Linked DNA regions of Daphnia pulex. The protein of the gene in region 1 binds, or shares a complex with, the protein of each later gene. Links are inferred from orthologs where the notes say so. Each region holds a gene or a part of one and is shown on either strand. Other genes may lie near its edges.

What was found.
Region 2: vacuolar protein sorting-associated protein 8 homolog (region 1) and transforming growth factor-beta receptor-associated protein 1-like share a complex: the UniProt entries of both Homo sapiens proteins name them as parts of the putative class C core vacuole/endosome tethering (CORVET) complex. The link is inferred for Daphnia pulex from reciprocal best matches to the Homo sapiens genes VPS8 and TGFBRAP1.

Annotation. Positions count from the first base shown.
Region 1 is NC_060022.1:5,734,159-5,737,608, reverse strand, and holds the end of vacuolar protein sorting-associated protein 8 homolog, read left to right. Parts: coding exon 1-186; intron 187-255; coding exon 256-608; intron 609-676; coding exon 677-939; intron 940-1,010; coding exon 1,011-1,328; intron 1,329-1,416; coding exon 1,417-1,883; intron 1,884-1,939; coding exon 1,940-2,074; intron 2,075-2,144; coding exon 2,145-2,455; intron 2,456-2,511; coding exon 2,512-2,610; 3' UTR 2,611-2,702; downstream 2,703-3,450. UniProt on the Homo sapiens protein: Plays a role in vesicle-mediated protein trafficking of the endocytic membrane transport pathway.
Region 2 is NC_060020.1:7,293,161-7,297,090, reverse strand, and holds the start of transforming growth factor-beta receptor-associated protein 1-like, read left to right. Parts: upstream 1-1,130; 5' UTR 1,131-1,186; coding exon 1,187-1,264; intron 1,265-1,346; coding exon 1,347-1,399; intron 1,400-1,475; coding exon 1,476-1,983; intron 1,984-2,043; coding exon 2,044-2,204; intron 2,205-2,270; coding exon 2,271-2,604; intron 2,605-2,675; coding exon 2,676-2,798; intron 2,799-2,865; coding exon 2,866-3,131; intron 3,132-3,192; coding exon 3,193-3,637; intron 3,638-3,691; coding exon 3,692-3,930. Other genes in the region: group XIIA secretory phospholipase A2-like, read right to left, coding at 1-200, 276-343, 421-649. UniProt on the Homo sapiens protein: Plays a role in the TGF-beta/activin signaling pathway. It associates with inactive heteromeric TGF-beta and activin receptor complexes, mainly through the type II receptor, and is released upon activation of signaling.

The DNA.
Region 1 (3,450 bases):
TTGAGGCTCTGGAGAGCTGCATCAGCCACGTCGATGTCTCTAGCTTGGATCTGCATCAGATTCTGACGTTGTCGCATAACCAGGGGTTGTGTCACGCTTACCTTTACGTGCATACACGGGCGCTTCAGGATTACGTCAGTCCGCTGGAAGATCTGATGAAACAGTTGCAAGGAGCAGTCAAATTAGGTTCAGCATTATATAACATGATTCCATAAAACTAACTAGTTAACCATTCCATGTACCGTATACCCTTAGGTCCGCCGTATTCTGAACAAGATCTCAAATTGGGCCACGTCATCCTGGTCTACATCTCATGTTGTTTGGCTGGCAGGGCTTATCCCGTTGGAGAAATTGACGAAGATTCCCGTGTTAAAGTCAAACATCAAGTGTTAACTAGTCTGACGTGCCTGCACAGTAAACGAGCTTCGGAGGATGAGCCTCCATATCCATTCCTGCGCACTCTACTAGAGTTTAATACCCAAGAATTACTCAATGCTCTTTCATTAGCTTTTGAAGAATCTGAATTCATTGGCGAGATGGGAGCAAGACGCCAGCAGAGAGTAATAGACATTCTGGTTGAAATTATGATCAACTCGTCTCAGTTTTCGGTAAACATCTTTTTCTGCCTAATAGTAATTCTAACTTGTTTGTAACTTGTTTATAATTATTGTTACAGCCGGATCAGATTTGCTCTCTTTTCACATTCATTGCTCGTCAAATAAGTCGCTCACCTCGCCACGACTCTATTCATTTGGAACGTGGTCTTTTTCAGCAGCTTGTAGATTTGGTCTGTTCTTTGTCTTCTAAAGAAACTCGAGTTCAGAGTAGATTCGAAGAAAGGCAACAAGCACTGCTTCAACTTCTTCAGATTAAAGGCCAGCTATCATTGGGAACAGAAGATGAAGAAAAGCTACTTGAACAAGCTCAATCCGCTAAATTGTAATATCATTTAAAATCAAAAATCAATTTGAAACCATTTTCACATTCAATTTATAATACTTTTTTATTAGTTATCGTGTATGCGAGTATATCTACGAGCAGCGCCAAGATTGGGAAAATGTGTTCCAGTGCTACATTGACGATACCTCTCGCCACGGCGACATTCTTCACTTCCTGCGGAACGTTTTCACTGAATCTGTTGCATCCAATGTCCAACTGATGGAACGATTGATTTTGAAACATATCCAACTGCTAGTCCAACTAAACGCAACTTCATTGGCCGTCTTTTTGGCTGTTAACAAACCTGCATTAATTGATGAGGCGGTCACTGCCCTGATACCTTTTCCAAATGAACGATATCGTTTTCTTGAAGCTATTCTTGATTTGGCGTGAGTTTTAACTTAATTTTTATCGACTTATTTTACATTGATGCTTCAAATTTTAAAAGACGATGTTCTCTTACCTCCGTTGAAATAGGACTCAAGATATAGATGGGGCAACCAATACTGCTGTTTTGATCGATGATGACGGTCATTGTATTGAGCAATTTGCTGAACTTATGGCGGAGCTAGAGCCGGAGCGACTTACGTCTTACGTTCAACTAGCCGATATCCCACATCTGCCGCGTTTGTTAGAAATCTGTCGCAAGTTTGCCGTTGTCGAAGCTGAGGCGGCAATTCTTGAACGTCAAGGAGAGATAACAGCCGCTTACGATTTACTACTCGGCCAGCTTCAAGGTTCCATTAAACAACTCTTTGTTGAAACAGAGGGTTGGCAAGACTTCGAGGCTGCTTCTCAATCAGTAATTGATTTTTGTCAGCGACAAGCAAGTTCTTTAACAGAAAAGGAACGCGAAAGGGTTTGGTTAACCCTTCTCGACGAGTTGCTTCTTCCGCAAAGAAGCTTGAAGGGAAATCCGGATGCTTCCGCTTCCATCATCTCAGGTTTTGGAAATTTTTATTTAAAAAAAGGCCGTCCGTTAACAATTAACGATTTTAAGGTTTGAGAGAAGTTACTCAAAAAGTCGTGACAAGCATCCAGGGTCAAATAAGCTTAACTAAAGTGTTACCTCGTTTGATTGAGGATCCCGAAACAACAGGAGGCACTTTAGGGGATCTTCGCCAACTTATAATGGGTAACACAAAAAAAAAAATCTAATTCATTGAGGTAAAGTTTTTTTAATATAATGATTCATTTATTAACAGGTCTTTTGGATAACTACACGTACGAGACAACATTGCTACGGATCAGCACGCGACTGCTTCAAGGGGATGTACACAGTTTACTGTCTCAGCGCTACCGCCAGTCACGGAAAGGTATTGCGTTGCGTGCGTCCCGCTGCAGCAGCTGTAATCGTCTGCTTCAAAACGGCCGGAATCCATCCATTACTGCATTCCAATGTCGTCACGCTTTCCATAGCAGCTGCTTACGAGGGGAAATCAAGCAATGTATCCGTTGTCAGCCAACACCGATCATTGCAGAGCCAGAGCAAGATGATTCTACTGTCCCTAATCAAGTAAAGAGTTTTGTTGAATGTAATTGTTATTTTTCTAACTCTTTGTCATTTTCCAGGAGCAGTTGCCAGTTCCTCAGTTGTCACCTGCTCAGCTGGATTCGATCTACAAGGCAAGAATCGGATTGTCCTCTGCATTACAGAACCTATTCGAGTGATACCCAAATATTTATCCAGTATGAAACTTTTTCGATAAAACTATTCAAATTGTTGACTTATTATTGCAAATACGACTTGAATGTGCGTGTTACGTATAATTTCTTGTTGGGTTCATTCACAATCCTAGAAGGAAAGAGAACGTTTCTCGTATATTTTCCCGTTTATACAATAACTGTACAGCGCCCATCACTTGATGATTGCAAAAAAAGGCATTTATTCAGATTTAGACATTAGTTGGCTAAAATTGTCTGGCCTGTCATCCAAAATGATCCAACATGTTTCCATAAGTTGGTTGGAATGATCCGACAATCACTTAGCCCCATTAAAAATCCTTCAAGGTTTAATTTGAGGTCTGTCACCCCAATCAATGAAAATTCATAATAATTAACTTTTATGTGAATCTGGTCATAAGTTTCTTTGCGATATAATCAATATCTGTTTGTGATGGTTGGACGGTTTATGCTGAGTTGCTGAGTTGGTGACAGTGTGACACGAACAATTTACAAGTTCCATCACGCTATATGGTCCCCCTCTGTTTATGAGCAAAGTAATAATACAGTCCATTCCATTTTTCTCTATTTTTAATGTAATGTTATCTTAAGGGAGTTAGAAGAAAAAACAACGGTGCACCTGTAACCCACTGCTGAAATCTTTCTGCTAGTCATACCTTTACTCCACCGGGATTTTAAGAATTATACACCGTCAGTTTGTAAAGTGATAATCCTTCTTCAAGGCTTGATTTGTCAAGGTCGTGTCCTTGTTTAACTCAAATATTATGGGCTGAAGAATCCAAGAGGTAAGGCAGTCGTACAGCACCTCGCAACAAGTCAACAACGAGG
Region 2 (3,930 bases), on another chromosome or scaffold:
ATGCGAAATGGGCAAATCAAGTACCGCTGCCAGCTTTTAAATGAACAAATTTTTATCAAACAGTTTTTAAATTCTTTATCGCATTGGCCTCGGTGCACGTCAGCTTCCATTGACGAAATGATGTGGCATTTATCGTAACACATATCGTGAGTGTTGCAGCATAGCTCTTGGTCTTTATATGGCAAACATTCAACGTCTATCTACATTATATAAAGAAAAAAATAGCGGAAAATAGATAAAAGAAAATTCTGGGCTGATTTTATTTGTATCGTTACTTTGAGTCCATCAGCTCCACAGCCATTACTAGTCGGGAAATGACTTTGGTTTGGCGCTGCTATAAATCCTGCAAGAATGTAGGTATACATTTAATTATTGATTTATTAGTAAACTGCAAGGGGGTCAGAATATTGTATACTTAACCAGGTGGGCAATCAAACTTCAATTCAGAACTGGAAGGCTGTGACAAAAGATTGATTGAGGATTCCCAGATCTTTGGGTGATAAGCGCAAAAATCTACAAGAGTACTGAAAGTAGCACCAATAATTCCAGTAGACATCATTTTGAAGATAATCCATCTAAGTATTCCGGTCCACCAACCATCCAGGAAAAATAAAGTTACTAGTATGATGGCTACATGTGAATTCTTCATCGTACATCGTCCGATATGGGACGATAACTCTGAGAGAATTCCAGACAATTTGCAGGTTACACAACTACAGTCCGGTATTTTATTTCACTAAGAAGTAAACGGTGCACTCCGCCCGCCCCTTCGAACCTTCCCTATATATTGATAGAAGGGATTTGCAATTGCAACACGCGATACATATATTGATATCTCGATACGATACCTTTTATATTACGTTGAATTACGAAATAAATTTGTTTTTTAAGTTATAATCGCGGCCATTGGTCATAAATATAAACAAATTGGATACTACGAAAATATAGCGTAGTTTGAATGCCCACGTAATTTCAAATCGAAATCGGATTTGATTTTCCTTATTGAATCGATAAACTTTCTATATCGATTAGTGGGGTTTGTTTTGACGTAAGATTTTTTTTTAGTTTTTATTGGATTTGTGTCCATTTGTGTACACGATATTTAACTAAAGAGTACATATAATTAGTAACACAACGCTTCAGCTGCTACCATTTGTTTGATCTCATTAATTTGAGCAATCTTAAAATGAGTGCACAGGCATTTGACATCATATTTGCTGGTAATTTACCCAATCTCTTCATTGATGGATCTCCTTCTACAAATGTAAGTCTTTGTATCTAAAATATTCTTGTTGTATGTATAAATATGATTTTTCAAAGACATTAATGAATAAAATGTCATTTAGATAACCTGCCTGGAAATATGTGGCGATTTCTTATATCTAGGGTGCAAAGAAGGGTAAATTTGCTATACTGTTGGCTTCCCTTTTTTATACCATTGAATGTAATAAAAATTTCGAATTATTGTATCACAGAAACTTACTGAGGTGTAGCTTCAAGAAATCTTCAATCTTACCTGAACAAACAGTAATTATCAACAAAGCCACTCACTGCTACTCAACTACCAGTCCTATAGTACAGATGAAAGCCATATCAGCCTTGACACAGCTGCTTGTGCTTTCTAATGAAACCTTGACTGTGCTTGATTTGGAAACTTTAGCTCTAGTCAGAACATTAAAGTTCAAATCCATCACTTCTTTCCATCTTAATGAGAATCCACTCAATGAAGATCCATTCACAGTGGAGATTTGTGCTGGGTCCAAGAAAAAAATATTGTATATTCACCTTAGTGATGAGCATGTTAAAATAATTAAAGAAGTCTCAACTAGCTTAACACCTTCAACACTGGTGATGGATGGAGCTCACATTTGTTTTGCTATGGGCTTTGAATATTGCATGCTGGATATTCTTTCTGGAGAGATTCAACAGCTATTTGCTGTAGACAACCCACAGCAACCACTCATCATTCACAGAGTCTCAAAGGTGTTTAAATTTAAATGTTGCAAAATATTGCACCTGTTTTAACTTTTCTCCTAATTATAGGGAGAATTTTTATTGAGTGGACCTGGTGGATTAGGAGTATTTGTGTTGTCACAAGGTTTTTCAGATAAACCTCCAATAAATTTTTCCAGTCAAGTCTCAGCTTTAGCCTTTCATCACCCATACATAATTGCAGTGTGTAGACAAGGAATCTGTTTTTACAGGTATTTGAAGAAAAAAAAAAATTCAATCTGATTTGATAATTTTATTTGTAAATTTCATAATTACAGCATTATTGATCAGCAATGCAAACAAACGATAGCTATTGACAATGTTCGGTCTATAGTAAATGGTGATGGTCGAATCTTTGCCTCGACACTGATTGACTTGTTTGCTCTACTTCCTATTTCTTGGGAGACGCAATTAGAGAAATTACTTGCTGACAATCGCATAGAAGAGGCCCTCGTATTAGCTGCTAATGCCCATATCTCTTCTAACGATAGAGAACAGCATAAACTCATGATTAAGGATCTTGAAGAAAAAGTGGCTTTGCTACGATTTTCTTCTGGACGCTTTTTGGATGCAATGGAATTGTTTGAAACATGCAACATTGATCCTCGAAAGGTCTGTTTGTTTTTTACATTTGTGTACAATGTACATGCATAGCATATTAAATAACTTGTGCAACTATTTAGGTGATTGACTTGGACCTTGAACAAATGTTCCCAGAAGAAGAAATGCGCAACAGTTCTTTAGTGGTTTTCCTCGATTTTCTTCAGCGATGGAGACTCAAGTGCTTGACGCCAGATCAGAGGATGGTATGCTAGTTGTGTTTCCGTAGTTTTTCGTGTCATCGCATCTAAATTTGATGTAAAAATTTTTTAGGCAGTCGATTTGGCACTTCTCAAGTATTTAGCAAGGAATGACGACGAAGGAGTGCAGTTGATGGATTTCATCGTAGACTGCCAAGCCGACTCAAGTGAAACATGCGACTGCTTGAAAACTTTTCAAAGGTTCCATTGCTTAGCGACCTACTATATTTCTAAACAAAAATGGGAGGAAGCCTTTTGCATTTGGGATCGATTGATGAAGTCGGACATTGAAGACGTGCATTTTTTAGGATACCCTCATGTGGCCGAGCAGCTGACTAAGTATGAATTCTTTAAAGTTGTTTGTAAATCATTTTCATAAGTTTTTGCGATTTCTACTTAGGTGTGGAGACATCTCACTGATTTGGCGCTTTAGTGGAGAAATCTTAAAGAGGGATGAAGAGATGGGCGCTAAAATATTTACTTCAGAAAAGATACCAGCCGTTAAGCCGCGAGCTGTAATAGATTATTTACGCAACTATCCCAAAAGTTTAAGAATTTTCCTCGAATTCTTGATCGAGAAGAAAATCGACGAGGAGTCGGTTCACACTCAACTAGCTATGATGTATATAGATGACATCAAACGCTCCGATCTGAACCGCAATAGCCCAGGCCATCGAATGACAATTAACAAACTACGAAGTCTTCTTAGAACTTCTCAAAAACTTGAACTAGTTAAACTGTTGGAAATACTTGATACGCCTGGCTTTCCACATGAGCACGCAATCGTTTGTGGAAGACTTGGTCAACATTCCACTGCTATTAATACCTTTATCAACTATCTTAAGGTAGTTAACCTCTTAATATAAAGCAAATAATGTAATTTAATCAATCTTTATCAGGATTTTGATGCTGCTGAGGAATATTGTGCATGTCTAGATGATCCAAAAGCTTGGAATGCCCTGTTGGCTGCCTGTGTGACTGAAGCGAACGTTCATATGTTTGACCGTGTGGCAGATTTATTGCGTCGCCGGCCACATCAGTTTGACGTTCCAACAGCCCTGCTCTGTCTTCCTGATAGCACAAAATTCAATGTAATCGCCCCGTTCGTCAACTTCGCGGTTCGTGAAGCATTACACGA